4 linked regions of the Arabidopsis thaliana genome follow. The protein of the gene in region 3 purifies or fractionates together with the protein of the main gene of each other region. This does not show direct contact. Each region holds a gene or a part of one and is shown on either strand. Other genes may lie near its edges.

What was found.
Region 1: the proteins of AT2G18720 (region 3) and La1 fractionate together in Arabidopsis thaliana (co-fractionation; one large-scale study listed by BioGRID). This does not show direct contact.
Region 2: the proteins of AT2G18720 (region 3) and EIF4E fractionate together in Arabidopsis thaliana (co-fractionation; one large-scale study listed by BioGRID). This does not show direct contact.
Region 4: the proteins of AT2G18720 (region 3) and AT4G39520 fractionate together in Arabidopsis thaliana (co-fractionation; one large-scale study listed by BioGRID). This does not show direct contact.

What each region holds. Positions count from the first base shown.
Region 1 is NC_003075.7:15,785,156-15,790,503, forward strand, and holds La1 (La protein 1), read left to right. Parts: upstream 1-2,038; 5' UTR 2,039-2,157; coding exon 2,158-2,208; intron 2,209-2,311; coding exon 2,312-2,390; intron 2,391-2,489; coding exon 2,490-2,639; intron 2,640-2,916; coding exon 2,917-3,059; intron 3,060-3,149; coding exon 3,150-3,298; intron 3,299-3,411; coding exon 3,412-3,534; intron 3,535-3,623; coding exon 3,624-3,918; intron 3,919-4,023; coding exon 4,024-4,171; intron 4,172-4,266; coding exon 4,267-4,339; coding exon of another isoform or gene 4,340-4,343; intron 4,344-4,437; coding exon 4,438-4,528; 3' UTR 4,529-4,841; downstream 4,842-5,348. Other genes in the region: SCRL25 (SCR-like 25), read left to right, coding at 1-14; SCRL24 (SCR-like 24), read left to right, coding at 1,182-1,248, 1,484-1,686. UniProt on the Arabidopsis thaliana protein: Binds to the 3' poly(U) terminus of nascent RNA polymerase III transcripts, protecting them from exonuclease digestion and facilitating their folding and maturation.
Region 2 is NC_003075.7:10,016,025-10,020,220, reverse strand, and holds EIF4E (eukaryotic translation initiation factor 4E), read left to right. Parts: upstream 1-1,988; 5' UTR 1,989-2,069; coding exon 2,070-2,368; intron 2,369-2,811; coding exon 2,812-2,977; intron 2,978-3,072; coding exon 3,073-3,198; intron 3,199-3,291; coding exon 3,292-3,357; intron 3,358-3,446; coding exon 3,447-3,497; 3' UTR 3,498-3,691; downstream 3,692-4,196. UniProt on the Arabidopsis thaliana protein: Component of the protein complex eIF4F, which is involved in the recognition of the mRNA cap, ATP-dependent unwinding of 5'-terminal secondary structure and recruitment of mRNA to the ribosome.
Region 3 is NC_003071.7:8,114,308-8,118,873, reverse strand, and holds AT2G18720 (Translation elongation factor EF1A/initiation factor IF2gamma family protein), read left to right. Parts: upstream 1-1,875; 5' UTR 1,876-1,896; intron 1,897-2,062; exon of another isoform or gene 2,063-2,104; 5' UTR 2,105-2,114; coding exon 2,115-2,238; intron 2,239-2,336; coding exon 2,337-2,505; intron 2,506-2,535; exon of another isoform or gene 2,536-2,561; coding exon of another isoform or gene 2,562-2,581; coding exon 2,582-2,684; intron 2,685-2,767; coding exon 2,768-2,995; intron 2,996-3,080; coding exon 3,081-3,299; intron 3,300-3,384; coding exon 3,385-3,954; 3' UTR 3,955-4,019; downstream 4,020-4,566. Other genes in the region: AT2G18721 (uncharacterized protein), read right to left, coding at 1,768-1,875; SCY1 (SECY homolog 1), read left to right, coding at 4,422-4,566.
Region 4 is NC_003075.7:18,370,315-18,375,955, reverse strand, and holds AT4G39520 (GTP-binding protein-like protein), read left to right. Parts: upstream 1-1,716; 5' UTR 1,717-1,955; coding exon 1,956-1,997; intron 1,998-2,148; coding exon 2,149-2,202; intron 2,203-2,596; coding exon 2,597-2,773; intron 2,774-3,030; coding exon 3,031-3,102; intron 3,103-3,404; coding exon 3,405-3,464; intron 3,465-3,541; coding exon 3,542-3,651; intron 3,652-3,743; coding exon 3,744-4,043; intron 4,044-4,126; coding exon 4,127-4,318; intron 4,319-4,418; coding exon 4,419-4,470; intron 4,471-4,576; coding exon 4,577-4,627; 3' UTR 4,628-5,091; downstream 5,092-5,641. Other genes in the region: AT4G39530 (Tetratricopeptide repeat (TPR)-like superfamily protein), read left to right, coding at 1-1,220; CYP96A12 (cytochrome P450, family 96, subfamily A, polypeptide 12), read left to right, coding at 5,485-5,641. UniProt on the Arabidopsis thaliana protein: Binds GDP and GTP, and has low GTPase activity in vitro.

The sequences.
Region 1 (5,348 bases), on a different chromosome or scaffold from region 3:
GCTGCTCAGGATAAACTCCCCTAACCAACATTGCTTTTACCTATTTTTTAGTTTTTACTAATAGAATTGTTATGAGTGTTTGTAGTGTTGTCATTTTCATGACCCATAAATAAGTTATGTTATTCTAATGTATCTCTCTTTTTCCACACAAATTTTTAATAAAGTTATGAGTTACTTCTTTCTAAGTAGTTAGTATGAGTTTTCCAATCAATCTATTTTCCACGTTCAGTTTTCCAAATTGTATTGATCCTGTTATAGTGTAATTACGCATTTTGTAATTGGCCATGGTACTACAATACTAATACTATCATGTTATCTGCAGACTTCAATCTTTTATTTTTAAAAATTAATTATTAGCATTTGTAATATTGATGTAATTTTAATACAAACTGTTTATTAATTTGTTTGAAAACTTATGTGGACAAATAAAATTAGTATACAGAACAAAAAAATATGTTTCAATACCAAAAAAAGTTCACTCCCTAAGCTTTTCTGTCTCTTAAGGATAACATCCTGGATGAGGTCTCTCGATGATTCCCCCCACATACAACATAACCATATAAAAAAAAAATCATCAGCCAAGTGAAGCCTCGGGAACAGTAGTGTGAACCTTTGGATCCTTGGCCTATCGTCAAATGATCGACGACGGTCGAGTTGATTGATCCTACACAGTACACAACCTGAATGTTTTCCCATAGCATCTCTGCTTCATCTATTCCTTGCTAGTAGGATTGATCCCAGAAAACCATAAATTTGTTTTATAAAGATTGAACGTTTGTCTATAGATTAATTTTCAATGGATTAAACATTGTAAATTAATGGTCTTATGGATTTTGTGAGTTTAGATTATCAAGGTTAGAACTGTGTATTTTGAAAAGAATAGGTGATGCGTCATCACAATACACGCAAAAAAAAAAAGTGAAAAATATATAATACTAGTAAGTAGATTTACAAAGAAGAATTTTTCCAAAAAAGAAAGAGTTGATCCGTCGAACTCGTTAATTAAGAAGGCTCGTTGAATTTTACAAAGCAAATTCTAAAAAAAGATGCATCTATTTTTACGATATCTCGAATATATTTATTATGAGTGTTGTTGATAAGAAAGATAAAAAATTCGAGAGGCAAACAATAGTTTTCTGCAACTATAGAGATAATTAATAATTCTTATCAGCTTTTCAATCATGAGATCTGTTATTTGGTTTATAGTTTCTTATACTCTCATGTTACTCGTTCTGAGAGGTGGTAAAGGTAATATGTTGAGTTTTTTTTGTATGGACGTAACTCGTATATAATAAGATATAAAACAAGGATGTTCTTTCTAATTGCAAAAACGGTGTTGTGATTAAAGGAAATAAAAAGCATTGTTACAACGTTAACATATGGTTTAATAGTGAACTTATTTGGATTGTCATTTGTTTATTAATCGAACTAAAATTAACGTTTTTTTTTTTTTTTTTGGTTTGTGTGGTTGAGAAAACAATAGAAGTGGAAGCTGAGAAACTGTGTACAACGATAGGAGACTTGGACGGTAAATGTAGCCAAGACGGAGAAAAGTTGTGCATGAGATACATGACTGATCAATCTAAAAAAAAGTTTCTTAGCTGCACATGTAATAACGTTGTTATGTTACACAAGTACAAACATTATTGCGAATGTCAATCTCATTGTACTCCAAAACAAACGTAAGCTGTAACTCTATAATCAATATATCTCTTTACAACTAAATAAGAATTGTTGATAGAGTTTGTAGTGTTTTCACGACTCAAAAATACAAATGTTGTGCTGATTGAAGTATGAATTTTTGGTTCAAGTCTTGATCTTGATCATTGAAAAAAATCGTGAAAATATTGATCAATTGCCAACGAAAAGACGTAATGGGGTGAATCAGATAGTGTAGGATTATTTGGGGTAATTTTGTTACATTCTAAAGTATAGTGGGTGGGGTTAAATTGATAGTATTAAAAAAGTCAAGGGTTAATACGAAATACAAATATAATCAATAGCGAAAAACCAAAAAATAAATAAATAAATGACAATTTGACTCGAAAACTTTAAGAGAAAATGGAAACTGTGTCTCAATAAACCCTAGTACCCTTTTTCTCTCTTATTCTTCTATCTTCCTCCTCCTCTATCTTTCGCTCGAGCCATTGAGCAATTATGTCGATTCCTTGTCTAACCGAAGAGACAGCCAAAACTGTTCTTCGCCAGGTACAAACTTGTCTTCTTCTTCTTCTTCTGCGGTTCCTCTCTAGTAGCTTCACCAGTTTTTTTTCTTTCGATTATGTTCTGATATTTGATATCGATTTTATAGGTGGAGTTCTATTTCAGTGATAGTAATCTACCCATTGATGATTTCCTCAAGAAGACTGTTACAGAGAGCGAAGATGGCTGTAAAGTTTTAAACTTTTAAACAAATTCAGTCGCTATCGCTGTGTATTTTGATTTTTTTTTGTTATGGCTAATTGATGATTTTTTGGTTTGTCAAATAGTGGTGAGTTTGGCGTTGATTTGCTCCTTTAGTAAGATGAGAGGATATTTGAAGTTGGGTGATTCTAAAGGAGATGATATTCCTGAAGATACCATCAAAGCTGTTGCTGATACTCTTCGAACCTCTTCTGCTCTCAAGATTTCTGACGATGGTGAGTTTCATGATATAATCAAGTTTCTGTTGGGTTTGGATATAGTTAACAATTGCTTTAATTGATTCAAACGAAGTAGTGATATCTTAGAAGAAAGATAATAGTTTGAGAGTTTCAATTATAGGTGAATGGCCTGTGTAGTGCATAGTTTAAACTTAGTTTCATTAAGAAAAGTCTTTGCATGTGGATTTTACAAGTTTGATAATATGTGGTGTCAGATTGGAGAAATATGTTTTGTACAGTTTAGTGATCAATTTTGTTGGATTTTCTTAAACAGGGAAAAAGGTTGGTAGGAGTACTGAATTGTTGAAGCTGGAAGATTTGATTGAGCAACTTAATGCTAGAACAGTAGCTGCGTCACCTTTCTCCTATGATGTTAAAAGGGAAGACGTGGAATCCTTTTTCAGTCAGTATGGAAAGGTAATCCACTATCGATTGAATCATAAGCCATTGTTCAAAATTTAGATTGGTTATACAAGTTTTTGGTATATGTATGTGTCGTCCTTGCAGGTTAATAGTGTGAGGATGCCTCGTCATGTTGCAGAGTCGAGGATATTTTCTGGTGTTGCCTTGGTTGAGTTCCCTACAGAAGAGGATGCCCAGAATGTTATGAAGCAGAATTTGGTCTTTGCTGGTCAGGAGTTGGAGCTGAAACCAAAGTAATCATACTTAGACATGAAAACATGTCCTGTTTGCTGACTGTTTCTCATTTTACAAGTCTTTCCATTGAATGTTTGGATGGGTTACTTAAAAGGTGATATATTCTTTTCAGGAAAGAGTTTGATAATGAAAGGGAGAAGGATGAAGTAAAATTTGCTAATTACCAACCTCAGAAGGGATCTGCAAATCAGAAGAATGGTTCTGATCACAAAAACAATTCTGCTTATGAGCCAGAGTAGGGGTTTGACTGTTGCTATCTAATTACTTGTCTTTTCATGCTAATAATCCTCTTGATCTGATTATGGCTATTTTATCGTATTGTAGTTATCCCAAGGGTTTGATCATTTCATTCACCCTCAAGCGTTCAGCTGAAGAGGGTACCACGGAACAAAAAAGTTCTGAGGAGCCAACTGATAAGACAATGGAAGAAAGTGAAACAAAGCCAGCAGATACTCCTGATGCTGATAAAGAAAACACTGGTGAGGTTCAGGCCGAGGGAGCAGAGGATGAAGATGATGAGAAAGAAGAAAAGGGTGCTCTAGCCACCCATAAAGATAATAAGGATGTTGTCTTACGTGAAGATCTTAAGGCTGTTTTCGGAAAATTTGGTGATGTCAAGGTACTACTTGAGTTTTACTTAGCTGTCTGTCAACATGAATCAGATTCAATATCTCATATAACTGACATCATTTTCACTGATTCCTTTATTCTTTTTGTTGTGAAGTTTGTTGATTTCAAGATGGGATCTGAGACGGGTTATCTTAGGTTTGATGAACCTGAAGCATCCCAGAAAGCCCGTGCAGCAGCAGTATTAGCCAATGAAGGTGGACTAGCCGTGAAGAATTTTATTGCTGTCCTAGAACCTGTTATTGGTAAAAACACCTTTTCAACTTCAATCTTATCTTATAACTAAACCTTGTGTTCTGCTTTAGTTAAATGGTCACTTGTTTATATTGCTCTCTGTCAGGCGAAGCTGAAAAGGAGTATTGGACTCTCCTACGAAGCAAAGATCGGTTTGACAAGGGTGGCCGTGGAGGAAGGTGAGTTCATGTTTTTGTTCTGGTTTCTTTGTTATGATTTTGTTTCAAATGAAGTTTTTGTTTGGTTCTTCAGATAATAATATACTTGGTCTATGCAGGGGAGGAAGAAGAGGAGGGAGATTCGGGAGAAAGAGGGGATCAGATTCACCGGGTGGTCGCTGGAACAAATCTCAGAAGGTGGAAGCATGAGAGATTTCGCTCGTGACTGCTTCTGTTTTTCAATATATTTCTAGTTGCAACTTTAAATTTAATGTATCGACTGGTGACTCGTGATGTTATAACTAGAAATAGCTGCTTATTTGGCAAATTTTGGTTTAGTCATATTTGGTATTGTTTTGTTTAGCTTTATGTGCCTTCTTATGCACACATCTCTTTCCTTAATTATTTTAAATCGATGTTTAGGAAGCATTCTAAAAGACAAACTATTAATATTAACTGCTAAAAGTATATTCCTGTAAATTCTACAACTGTATCAATTGACTCACTGATGATGACACTATTTTACTTGAAGTAGTTAAAATTAATTTTGAAAATCAAATAGTTTTGGTATTCTTCTTGGTCTTCTCGTTTGACTTTGTCTACATTGTTATTAGGTTTTTATGCTGATTTTAGAATTAGCTGTTACTGGCAATTTCATCTTCTTCCTTTTTAATGAGAAAAAAACTCTTCTTTCATACAAAGAATGCTTTGCCGTTGTTTAGAAGAAGAAGCAACAGAGAATCTCGAAAGAAAAATGAATGAAGAAACGTATAAATAAATAAATTGAACTTTTATGATATGAGAGACTAAAAAGCGAGATTCAGAGATTGAAATCAACGGCTGAGATCACTTTCCTTTTTGTTTTGATCTCTCTCTCTCTCTCTCTCTCTCACTTCGAATTCCGTCCGCCTCTCCATGTTTGAGTTTTGAATACCTCTCTCTCTCTCTCTCATTCTCTCTCTCTCTCTCTCTCTCTCTCTCTCTCTCTCTCTCTCTCTCTCGACTTCGATTTCGATTTGTGTTCTTCTTC
Region 2 (4,196 bases), on a different chromosome or scaffold from region 3:
TAAGTCTTACATATCTTTTCATAAAAAGAATGTACATCAATTATGGATTCAAATTTTCTCTGTTCTTTGGACATGTTTTGTAAGTTTACTTTCTTTTCAAAAGTAAATATTAATGTTAATTTTTTAAAAGTTGAAAAGAAATTAAAAAGAGATTTTGATTCTAATCTTTATAGAATAATGGGAGAAACGATGACGCGTTATGCAATATTACCATACAAGTCAATTCATACGATCCAAACTCATCATTTATCAATTATCACTTGTGTCGTCAATACCAGTCAGGCAGTCACTTCTAAACTTTACAAAAAAAAAAAGAAAAAAAAAAACTGTTGATCAGTTCTTTACTACAAAAGAAAACGTCAACTAGCGACAAACTTTGATCTATCGACCATCATTAAGCGCTCGTTGCTAAACAAAAAAGTCGATAGATTTGAAAAATCTCCCGTATATAAAATATGTTGATAAATATAAAATAAGTTTATTTGATTCATTGCATGAGCCATGATTAACGTCGACAACCTTTTTCTTTCTTACATCTGCTTAAAAAAAAATCACACGCACTGAGAAGTTAGATTAAGAATGGTTGACAATTTATTTATTTTTGGTATAAAGAATGGTTGACAATTTATTTATTTTTGGTATAAAGAATGGTTGACAACTAAAGCAAACTTAAACTTATTCTTTTCGAATTACGTATGTACTATCATTATAAATATATTCTCGAATAACTCATATCAAATATATATTTGAAACGTGTATAACTAACATTCGAGATTCTTGGTTTGACGGCATATAGACAAGCCATGCAATTATGTTTTTGCAGCGAATCAAATAATCTTATTTCTTATAAAATCTAAAGAATATATAGCATAGAAATGTAAACAAAAACCAAACTCTATATTTATAGTCTCTCCTGGTGTCGAGAATAACTTTTTTGAGTATATTCTGCACAATTAGTTACTACTTACTAAGTTACTAGTGAGTAGTGATGCACAATAAACAAATTCTGACAGTTAATGGAATAGAACCAGCTTCACTTAGTTATACGTCTCTATCAACTATGAAGTAATAGAATACATTCGACTGCGAAACATTATGAAATCTTTTTATTTTCTCCTTTCTTTCGTTTGACCGATAAAACCAATGGAATGAATATAAGAAATTTCGTTTTGTTTCTGTACGTGGTATATCCACTGATTTAAACTTTTAAATTTACATGCACGGAACTTAAACACAATTGTATATTGTTTAGATTTAGAATATAATCCAGTTGTCTTGTTGGTCTAACATATTATATATATTAATTAACCCAAACTAGGTACATAAACAATTTAATATCTTAAAAGAAATACTATTATGGGGCGGCAGGCAGATCACAACCTTTAGAAATAGAAAGGTAAGACAAACTCACTTATATAGTCAAAAGCTATTAACACTTCCATAAGATATAAATCTCTCAAACTTTTGACAGTCTACAAAATACTTCACATTTTCTTAATAATCATATTATATGCTTTTGTGAAAGCATATAAAAACCTGATCATGTTCGTTTTACAGTTCTGACAATAACAACATGTTTTCTTAACTTTTTTGTAGCTGCTAGCGATCAACGACCAAACTAACGAAAACAACCAATTCTAAAGTTTGTTGTTTGTTTATGTGGTTAGTAATTCAATAATCGAATTTGGCAACCAGTTTTGGTGACTGATTTCATCAACTAATGACTAAAAATTCAGTCTATAAACATTTTCACGTTTCATATTTTGAATTAACGTTAATCACTAAAATTATTTGATTTTTTTGAAGACTACAAAACAAACATAATTTAGTACATGTACTTCAAACTAACACGACCATTAGAAAAACCTTTAAGAGCAAAAAGAGCCGGAGACAAGTTAAAGCCCATAATAGTTGTTAAGTTATCTCTTCGGCCCAAAAAGAAAAAAGACAAGAAGTATGTAATTAAAACGACGTCGTATCATAGTTAACCCTACGAGAGGAAGTACATTAGTTTGGAGAAGAGTAATAGACAGAGAGATAGAGAGAAAGAGAAGCAGTTCGGAGAAACAATGGCGGTAGAAGACACTCCCAAATCTGTTGTAACGGAAGAAGCTAAGCCTAATTCAATAGAGAATCCGATTGATCGATACCATGAGGAAGGTGATGATGCCGAAGAAGGAGAGATCGCCGGAGGAGAAGGAGACGGAAACGTTGACGAATCGAGCAAATCCGGTGTTCCTGAATCGCATCCTCTGGAACATTCATGGACTTTCTGGTTCGATAATCCTGCTGTGAAATCGAAACAAACCTCTTGGGGAAGTTCCTTGCGACCCGTGTTTACGTTTTCAACTGTTGAGGAATTTTGGAGGTTAGGTTTTTGATTTTATTTTATTTCCGACTCAATATCTGGTTTGTTCAATTATTCTGCATCTGGGTTTTGTTATAGGTTTCGATTTGTTGAGGAAAGTTATGTTCTTTATTGGGGGATTAGAAGATCCCATTGAAGTCATTATATGTTTTTGATGAATTGCTATGTTTGGTGTTTGAATTCGTAGCTAAAGCTTATGTTAGGGTTTAGCTTTGATATTCTGTTCACTTGTTTGTGAAGTAAAGTAGAAGAGCAAAGTTTGTGAGAGAAAGAGACCAACTTTGAAATCTTTCTTAGTGGTTTTCTAGGTATCAGAATTTGAGCAAACACTTTCGTGATGACTGAGGGTTGATGTTGTATAGTTCTTGCTCTTCCCAATGAGATTCATAGGTTTGTGTATTGTTCTTTCGACTTCTTATTTTAAAAGACATTTTGGTTTGCAGTTTGTACAACAACATGAAGCATCCGAGCAAGTTAGCTCACGGAGCTGACTTCTACTGTTTCAAACACATCATTGAACCTAAGTGGGAGGATCCTATTTGTGCTAATGGAGGAAAATGGACTATGACTTTCCCTAAGGAGAAGTCTGATAAGAGCTGGCTCTACACTGTACGGTTTCTATTCTTCTTTTATTTTGACTCGTAACTCCTGCGTCATCATCCAATTGAATCTCACCGGTTTTTCTTTTTACATGCTTGGTTTAGTTGCTTGCATTGATTGGAGAGCAGTTTGATCATGGAGATGAAATATGTGGAGCAGTTGTCAACATTAGAGGAAAGCAAGAAAGGATATCTATTTGGACTAAAAATGCTTCAAACGAAGCTGCTCAGGTAAATAGAAAAGACCTTTCTCATCAAAACTCATCAAACAGTCTCTCTGTGTAAAAATAAGACTTTAATTCTCGTCTGCATCAAATGTTGCAGGTGAGCATTGGAAAACAATGGAAGGAGTTTCTCGATTACAACAACAGCATAGGTTTCATCATCCATGTAAGAAGAAAGCTTCTCATAATTCTAATTCAAAAGTCTTCATTTTCTTCAGATCTCTCATTGTTTGGTTTGGTTTCTTTTTTTTTCAGGAGGATGCGAAGAAGCTCGACAGGAATGCAAAGAACGCTTACACCGCTTGAAACCTCTCAAATCTTTGCATTGTTTCAATTACAGTTTTGTATGTGAGAGATCTCTATTTATCTAAACATGACTTGACAGTCTGTCTTTGCTAGTGTTGATTGTTCACGAAGCTCTAACATTTCATTTAGTAATATATTAGTATGGTTCTTCATAATATTTACGTTGGTGCCCTTGTATAAAACCACCGGAGTGAGCGCAAGCTTTACAGACAAACAGTGCTTCTGTCTACCCAAGGCGGGCCTTAAAAGCCTGAATAGTGTATATGTTTACTTGACAAGAGCCCATGTACACTCATGAGCGATTGACTTTAACCGGTTTTAGAGAAAACTACTTTTACATTGTCACATTTACATCCTTTATAATTAACCTTTTAATTTAGGTTTTAAAGATCCACCTCAGCATTTATTTTAATGGAATGATTATTTAGCAGTGTGAACCGATTAACTCGGTTTTTGACGGTGACCGGTTTAGAGGAAATGGGAGTGTCGGTAGGAGATCTAAGTAGCGAGTATGTAAATTGTCCAACTGTCTGAAAAGGACCACTTGGGACGACAAGATTCTTCGGCTAATAATAATACATCACTCGTTTCAACAAATAAAATTTTCCTTTCTATTATTATGCAATCTTATAGCATATGGATTTGATCTTTTTTAATATATAAACAAAAGGTTTTCCAATTATGCTAAACCATAATCTG
Region 3 (4,566 bases):
GTTGAAATGAAAAATAATAAAGGATTGTTTTTTTTTAATCTTTCTTCTTCTTCTTTGCTGAGAGATTTCAAATCAACCAATATAAAATCTTCTTTTGACAGTTTGTATTTTCTTGTCTGTTTTGTCTTTTTTATAAATGATTTAGTTTCGAAGACAGCGCACAAAACGTGTGAATTAATTTGCTTATATTGAAAAAAAAAGAATTTACACGGTTGGATTTCAATGTGACGTCATAAAAATGCCACTCTTTAGATCTTTGATTCTTTTTCTTTTTTTATTGTTTGACATTTATGAAAGCGACTGATAAATGTTTATTTTGTAAAAGTTCTAATTTAGAATAATTTTGATTATTAATAATATTAAACTACTAAGATTTGTATAGTTTAATACCATTATCTTCTGTAACTAAGATTTGTAGATCTTTTGTTTCTGTAAGATCAAATTTACAATTTAAAGTGTACAAAATCTTACAATACTAATGATGGCATAAAGAGATTAACAATGAGATTTTTTAACGTTATTGTTATATCAAGAAAACCAGAGAAAATTAATTAGTAATTGATTGATACATTGTAAGAATAGGATCTAATGATATTTTAATATTCAAAAAGGTTCCATTATAGAGGTTACATCTGGTGAATATGATTGAATACAATTTGATATAGAGAATTAGAGATACTTGCATTATTATTTGCTTCCTATTATTATTTGACTGCATTATTGGTTTCTTTTTCTATGTAAAAAATATTTTCAACTCTCCAACAAAGAAACAAAATTCTCTGACATTTTGCTTAGAAAGAGTGGCGTTTTCGTCATTAAACAAAGGAATAGTTTTGGTGGTAACGTAAATTGTAAAAAAACAGCGAAGGAGACAATAGAAAATGAGAGCAGACATTGAAGTTAGTGGATTTTCCACAGAATGGGGCCTACAATGTTATTGCCCACTCAGAGAAATAGGGTCACTGAAAGTGATAGCTACTTCCCATTGCTGGGATCGTTGTGTACTTTTTCTAACCTAAATTTCCCTCAATGCCTTTTTCTTAACTTATAGAATTGGTCGAAACTTGAAAGTATATACAAATGCCACAGAAAAAAACATCATTTAATACCTTCTTAATTGCACGATATGATATCAGATGTTTTGTAACCAAGAATTGGTCCATGTAAACAATTTATTATGTGGCAGAGGAAGACTCAAATTCAGGTGGCTGATAAAAAGTGGGGTTTAAGATATTTCTTGAACTGGAAGACAATGAGCGTGTGTTCTCATTAGTATTACAAATCATATTTACATTATTATAAAGCGGAACATATTTACATTATACTCCAAATGATGTAACTATAAAATTTGATCTAACAATATATATCGTTAAGAAAAATAACCTAAATTTATCACAGCTTATTCATTTACACTCCTATAGAATCATAGATTTCCTACTCTTTTTTTTTTGTCATCATATAAACATATACTACTTTTTGTTCAAGGATCAATGTTTCTTAGTTTGGTGAAAGATAGAAGTAAACTGGAGTGGGCCAATGGTTAGGCGTGTAAGCCCAAACTTTGGAACGATTTTAGCCCATCTCAAAAGGAGCGTGCTATATTTTGTAAATGAAATTGCAAAATTACCTAACACAAATTTTCCTATAAAAAAACATTTCGGGTAAGAAACCGACAATTATAAAATAAAAATTGTAAGACATGTTTTATTGACACATGGAAAAATGAAGTTGGCGAAAAAGACAAACAGTAAACGTTAAGATAAAACCCTACCTATAAATATACCTTACACGCCACCTGACTTTATCAAAACCAAAAACACAAACCTTCAACGGCACGCTTTCTCCTCTGAAATCTCTGCGAGCAAACTTCTTCATCTACCTCTTACCGTACTTCAGGTTTGTGTAAATCATTTTTATAAGAACTTCAGTGAAATAGATTAGCAACCCTAATTGAATTTAATCGAATCGTAACTATTGTGAACGGAACCCATCCATCTTGCATAAAAACCCTAGTTTCTGAACAGCCTTTCGAAACTTCTAGTGTTATTGTATTGGCTCTGATCAACGTTGTTCTAAAGTTGTGAACTTTGATTGATTGCAACAGAGTGTTTAAGATGAAATCTGTCGTAATGTCGAAGAACAAGGGCTTAGCTGAACAAGATCTAAGTAAACTTGATGTAGCTCAGCTGCATCCTCTCTCTCCTGAGGTCATCTCTCGTCAAGCCACCATTAACATAGGTATACACAAGTTTTTGTTTCATTGAGTTTTGATGCTGAAGAAACTGATCAGCCGTGCATTGAAAGCTAAAGATATGACTATGCTCTCTATATCTCAGGAACCATTGGCCATGTCGCTCACGGGAAATCGACAATCGTGAAAGCCGTTTCCGGTGTGCACACTGTCAAATTCAAGAGTGAATTGGAGCGTAACATTACCATTAAACTTGGTTACGCAAACGCAAAGATTTACAAATGTGAAAAATGCCCTAGACCAGTAGCCTACAAGTGAATTCTTGCTCTTCTTTTGCTACAATAAGGTTACGTAGTGTACGTAGCAACTTATGATATGTGTTAATTATAGGTCTTTCGGGAGTGGCAAAGAAGACAACCCAAGTTGTGATGTCTCTGGACATGAGAAGTACAAGATGAAACTACTAAGACATGTCTCATTTGTTGATTGCCCGGTATAAAATGAGTTTTAACACTATTTCTAAATCTTTTGTAACCATTTTCTATATGTTAATGAGGTGTTTTGTGTGTTGATTAGGGACACGATATCCTAATGGCGACAATGCTGAATGGAGCAGCGATTATGGATGGTGCTTTACTAATCATTGCTGCGAATGAGACATGTCCACAACCACAAACAGCTGAACATCTTGCTTCTGTTGATATGATGCATCTTAAAGATATCATAATCATTCAGAACAAGATTGATCTCATCCAAGAAAACGAGGCTATTAAACAGCACGAGGACATCCAGAGATTTATAACGGTTTGATTCAATTTTCCCATTCTGTTTTTTTTTTGCATTTTTCACTTCTTGATTAGTTGGTTAAGTTTTAAACTTGTTATTACAGAACACGAATGCGGAAGGTGCTCCTATAGTTCCTGTCTCAGCGCAACTGAAATACAACATCGATGTTTTGTGTGAGTACATTGTCAAGAAGATTCCACTCCCTGTGAGGGATTTTGTGTCACCTCCAAGAATGATTGTGATTCGTTCTTTTGATGTCAATAAACCTGGCTCTGATTATGATGGTATGAAAGGTGGAGTTGCAGGTGGGAGTATCCTTCAGGTAAAACATACTCAATACCCCGAAAAACTAGGATAAATCGCGGTTGAATCAATGTAACTTATGTCTCTCTTTGCTTTGTTTGCAGGGTGTTTTGAAGGTGGGGCATATAATAGAGATAAGACCTGGAATCACTAGAAAAGATGAGAATGGAGACACTAAATGCACTCCCATTTACACGCGTATAACTTCATTGTACGCGGAACAGAACGAGCTTCAGTTTGCTGTCCCGGGAGGTTTGATTGGAATTGGGACAAGCATGGATCCTACGCTTACGCGTGGTGATAGGTTAGTTGGTCAAGTCCTTGGTGAAATAGGTACTCTCCCTGATGTCTATGTTGAACTTGAAGTGAGTTTCCAGCTTCTGACACGTCTCATTGGAGTGAAGACAAAGGAAACAGAGAGGCAAATGAGAGTGTCAAAGCTAGTCAAGGGAGAGATACTGATGTTGAATATCGGATCGATGTCTACGGGAGCTATGGTTATTGGAGTAAAGAAAGATATGGTGAAAGTTAATCTGACACTCCCTGTGTGCACCAGCATTGGAGAGAAAGTGGCTATAAGTCGCCGTGTGGATAGGCATTGGCGTTTGATCGGTCGCGGTCAGATTGAGGCTGGAACCACCATTTTTATCCCTTCTCCTCCTTCTTTGGCATGATTATATTTGATGCATTCACATATACCAAACTTGTAGTCTCATTATATCTTCAGAGTATTCCTAATCTGTCACCAAAGGAGATAACTAAACTTCTATGTGCTTATGCTTTTTGTGTGAAGTCTAACTAGAGTTTGATCAATTGCATCATCTTGATTTGTTATTAAAAGTTTTATAGTCTATGGATGTTACAGCTTAATTAACTAATTATCCTACATAGTTCATTTGAGAGAAAGATATAATTTGTGATTGTTGAAACTTGAAACTTGAAGTCTTGAAGAAACAGAAAGAAAGACTTGAAGTCATGGTCTCATTCCTAACGCCCAAAACAACAAAGATTAATAATGTGCAAAAGATGTATTGGGCCTAAAAGGCCTGGCCCATTAGCTGGATTCCGTAAGAAAAAAAAAAAAAGTGAAAAGGAAAAGAAGAAATCGTCGTTGTTGTGGAGAAGGAGAAGAAGGATAAGGATGATAACGGTAAGCGAAGTTTCCTCTTACTCTTCTTCTTCTTCAAACTTCGCGTCTCTGTCTCGTCTCAATCACAAATCATCTTCGAGATTGCGAAGCTCTTCTCTTTACAAAGGAAGCTTCTTCTCTGTTTCGACAAAGACCA
Region 4 (5,641 bases), on a different chromosome or scaffold from region 3:
TTGGGACACAATGGGAACTACATGAAGCATTGAACATCTTTCGTGACATGAGGTTCAGATTGATTCGACCTAGCCTATTGACTTTTGTTAGCCTTCTACGTGCATCTGCTTCTTTAACAAGCTTGGGACTGAGTAAACAAATCCATGGATTGATGTTCAAATATGGGTTAAACTTAGATATATTTGCTGGAAGCGCTTTGATTGATGTTTACTCAAATTGCTACTGCCTCAAGGATTCCAGGCTTGTGTTTGATGAAATGAAAGTGAAAGATCTTGTTATCTGGAATTCTATGTTTGCAGGTTATGTTCAACAATCAGAGAACGAAGAAGCTCTCAACCTGTTTCTGGAATTACAGTTATCAAGAGAAAGACCTGACGAATTCACGTTTGCCAACATGGTTACAGCAGCTGGCAACCTAGCAAGTGTTCAATTGGGTCAAGAGTTCCATTGCCAGCTTCTGAAAAGAGGCTTGGAATGTAATCCGTATATTACAAATGCTCTACTAGATATGTACGCCAAATGTGGTAGTCCCGAAGACGCTCATAAGGCTTTTGATTCAGCAGCTTCAAGAGATGTAGTTTGTTGGAATTCTGTCATCTCATCTTATGCGAATCATGGAGAAGGCAAAAAGGCTCTTCAGATGCTTGAAAAAATGATGAGTGAGGGAATAGAGCCTAACTACATCACCTTTGTTGGAGTTCTATCAGCGTGTAGCCATGCTGGTCTTGTAGAAGATGGACTTAAGCAATTTGAGTTAATGCTTCGATTTGGAATTGAACCTGAAACTGAGCACTATGTTTGTATGGTATCTCTTTTAGGCCGTGCTGGTAGATTGAACAAAGCAAGGGAGTTAATTGAGAAAATGCCGACAAAACCAGCTGCTATAGTATGGAGGAGCTTGCTGAGTGGATGCGCAAAGGCCGGTAACGTCGAGTTAGCTGAACATGCTGCTGAAATGGCTATTTTGTCTGATCCCAAGGACAGTGGATCGTTTACTATGCTTTCTAATATTTACGCGTCCAAGGGTATGTGGACTGAAGCTAAGAAGGTGAGAGAAAGAATGAAGGTTGAAGGTGTGGTGAAAGAACCTGGACGTAGTTGGATTGGGATTAATAAGGAGGTTCATATATTTTTGTCTAAGGATAAATCTCACTGCAAGGCTAATCAAATTTATGAAGTGTTAGACGACTTACTTGTGCAGATCAGAGGAGTTAGTTAATAACTACCATACAAGAACTCATTTTCTATTGGAGTGATGGACTCTATTTGGTTAAAGACCAATGCAGCAGATGAAGCTTAAAAGCGAGCCAAAGAAGAAAGAATAAGCCATGGTTAATATCGAGAAGCTGAAGGGGTAGCTAGCTCAGGAGAGCAAAGATGTTGCTATTAAGTTTTGTAATCAAGGGAAAATCGATTCTGTTCCGTTCAAATCCGAAGGAAGACTCAAAAATTAACCCCGGTTCAGTTCTCAGTTTCTTCTCATCATCTCCTAAAACCGGGTTGAGAGAGAAGTTGTAATGGTGAATGCATGAATGGTATGTTGTACATGATTCATTTGAATTTAGTTAAACCGTTTTTGAAATCAACTAAAACCGAAAAACACCAATTCAAAACAAAACAAAACAAAAATTCAGAACAGGGTTTATTGTATATAACCAAACTAAATTCTCATTCTGTTGTAAATTTTATTAAACCGGAAAACCAAATCGGACATATATGGGCCTAAAATGTTGTTGGGTCAGGCCGAATTCTAGACAGTTCTGTTCTAGTTTTTTCTCCTTTGTCGTAATCAGGTGGACGAAACGAAAACCCTCGGGATTCCTCTGCTTCTGTCTCGTCCGTCGTCGTCAATTTCTCTGCATCAGAGATTCCGGTGTCCTTCTTCCTTTCACTCGCGTATAACCTCTTTTCCTTGACGTTGTCTCCGTGAGCTCTCTGTGCTTTGACTGCAACCATGTCGACTATTATGCAGAAGATCAAAGAAATTGAAGATGAGGTAATTATTCAATCCTCTCTGATTCTTCACCTCTTCTCTTCAATTTTGGATGCATAGAACTGTGAATCCGAAATATCTATTCTGAATCAAAGAAATGATTTTTCAATCTGGGTGACTCACAAGTACGAGGTTTTTTTTGTTTATGTGGCAGATGGCTAAAACACAGAAGAATAAAGCTACTTCTCATCATCTGGGTTTGTTAAAGGTACATTTTTTCTCCTCTTTAGGTCGTTTTTTGTAGCTTTGAGAGTGAGGTTGATTGGTTGAGGTGTTTTTGCTTATCAAATGCAAATTTGGTTGATTGGTTTATATCTGTTTTGATACTTGATAAAAGCTATCATGAAATCCCAACCAGTAAGCAAGCTCATTAAGAAATATTTTAACTTCTGGTTGAAATCGTTTATGTTTTATACGAACTCCCAAATCATTGAATAAGCACAAAGCTGAGATATTTTATTTACGGCATGATCTCTTGTGAAGTTCCTTGGATCAAACAACTACTAGGCAGGCATTATATATTATTCTGTATTGATTTTAGAATTTGGTACTTATTCCTGCACCATTAGCTTCTCGTCATATTTCACTGGTCCATTTTGCAGGCCAAGCTTGCTAAGCTTCGGAGGGACCTTCTTGCACCGCCTACCAAAGGTGGCGGTGGTGGTGCTGGAGAAGGTTTTGATGTGACTAAAAGTGGAGATTCTAGAGTTGGACTGGTCGGATTTCCTTCGGTTGGAAAATCTACGCTATTAAACAAGCTGACTGGGACATTTTCCGAGGTTTGTAGTTATCGTTACGAATATTGAACTTCCTTTCTCTTGTTGTAATTGGAATTTTGAAACCTACCACGTATCCATGGCATCCTATTTCTAGTTACTTTTTGACCAACTTCCTGTGCAATATCACTTATAAGGCAAGACTGTTCGGCGCTAGTCTTTTCCTGGATAGATGAACATAAATCTTGGAATTAGAACTGTATTTTGGCTGATACTCAATTTTCTGAAGGTACATACTGTGATACACAATGTTTTCTCAGGTTGCTTCTTATGAGTTCACGACTTTGACATGCATTCCTGGTGTTATCACATATCGTGGAGCTAAAATCCAGGTATGGTATCTACATCTATGCGTCTGTGTTAATCTGTTATTTGTGGGGGAAAAATGATAATTCTTGGATAGTGTTTCCTCTGTCTTGGTAATTGTTGAAACACAATGAAATCCTTGGCTACATATGCCATGTCCTAGCTTGTAATTATCTTTTCTCGAGTCTTACTTCTATATTAAACATGTATCTTGCTTGATCTTTTAATGACTTCTTGGTACTTAGTTTAAGTCAGGAAACGACCTGTAATTATTCATTGGACACTGATGCTAATACTCTTTTTTATGTCCCCTTCTATGTGTTTGCAGTTATTAGATCTTCCTGGTATTATTGAGGGTGCTAAAGATGGAAAAGGTAGAGGAAGACAGGTAAGTCGAGTCTAAATCTCTTGAGTATTTTATATTTTGACCCTCTTTGATCATCTTTCACACTTTACTATTTCCAGGTTATAAGTACGGCTAGGACATGCAACTGCATCTTAATAGTTCTTGATGCCATAAAACCAATTACTCACAAGCGTCTCATTGAAAAAGAGCTCGAAGGATTCGGAATAAGGTATAGATTGTTTATATAACAACCTTTATACACTGTATATTTGATCGTTTCTGGTAGATAGTCTGACTCGATCATGGACTGTTGCTATGTAGGTTGAACAAGGAGCCACCAAATTTAACATTTAGGAAAAAAGACAAAGGTGGTATCAATCTAACTTCTACAGTCGCTGTCACACACCTTGACCTTGACACCGTCAAGGCGATTTGCGGTGAGTACAGGATGCACAATGCTGACATCACCCTGCGCTACGATGCAACCGCTGATGACCTCATTGATGTCATCGAGGGCAGTCGGATTTATATGCCCTGTATCTATGCTGTCAACAAGATCGATTCAATCACACTTGAGGAACTTGAAATTTTGGACAAACTTCCTCATTACTGTCCTGTCAGGTAAATGTTGTTAAATTACCGGCAGGATTTGCGATAAACTTGTTTACTTTTGCCATTAAGATATAAATTTATTTATCTTGCAGTGCGCATCTGGAGTGGAATCTTGATGGACTTCTGGACAAGATATGGGAATACTTGGATCTAACTCGAATCTACACAAAACCAAAGGCAATGAATCCGGATTATGATGATCCCGTAATCTTATCATCCAAGAAGAGAACAGTAGAGGACTTCTGCATCCGGATTCACAAAGACATGCTTAAACAATTCAAGTAGTAAGTAATTAAAATCCTTAACATTTTTCTTTTCTCTGTTATATGGTTCTTGCTCAAAAGCATCGCTCATGAATACTTAACTAATGATCTCCTGATACAGCGCTCTGGTTTGGGGTTCAAGTGCCAAACACAAGCCACAAAGAGTTGGAAAGGTTAGTTCTTCTAGCAAATCAAACAAAAGTTAATCTGGTAAATCGATATTGCAATATCCCTGACTAACTAACTATTGCTGTCTCGACATCGTATTTTATACTTCAGGAACACGAGCTTGAGGACGAGGATGTTGTTCAGATCGTTAAAAAGATATGATTTTTGCAGATAATGGAGAGCAGTCAAGAGACCAACCAAAGTAGCCATAATGAGATCTCCTATAGGAAGGTCAGGATTTCTTTTGGTTTCTCAGCTTTATCTTTCTTTTGTAATTGTATTATTATATCCAGACGAAATCTGTGTCTACACCCTTTTTTATGTCTTATTAGATACTTTTGTCTTCTTCCAATAATACTATTAAGCATGTGATTGATGTTGTCGGAACACCTCCTATTATCTCCAGTATGGGTTTGCCTAGATTTTCTCCTCCCTTGTTTTTATGTATGCAACTAGACTTTTTTGGATTTTATTTACTAAACATATGATTCAGTTTTTCTTCATGTAATAAAGAAAAACTGTTAAAACGGCCTTCATTGCACTGACCAGGTCGAGGTGTTATTATTTCTGACAGTTAGTTGTTACTTGGACTGTTGATTAAATTTAATGACATTAATAGATTTGGAAAACTATTACAACGACCTTCGTTGCAGTGTCTGGGACCGTGAATTCTGATGCACTTCTCGATTTGTCTATCCTCTTAAAGTTGGTTTGTCATTTAGTGTCTGAAATTGTAAGATTATGGACCCTTCTTTACAAGTCCTCCACCAATTCTGTCTCATCCATTTGTGTGGTTAGTAGCTTCACCAGCTTAACACTTTCACTAATCTTAATTCTTAAGATATGAAAAGCAGTTGAATGAATGCATTGGTAATTTCTTTCTTTTTTAATAAATTTTCTTTTTGTTGGTTGCTAATTTATATATGTAATAATCTTACTCTATATAAACAAGTTCCTTCAACACACAAAAGGAACCACCACCATATTGTGTCTGTAAACCAAGCTCCTAACTCTCTCATATGGCTTCTGTAAGCTTACTTGACGTTGCCATAGCCATCATTTGCCTTTTCTTCTTCTATTACATGTACTTCAAGAAACCTCATGGTCAGGTTTTTCGAAACTGGCCAGTTATTGGGATGCTTCCAGGCTTCCTGATGGTTCTCCACCGCATCTACA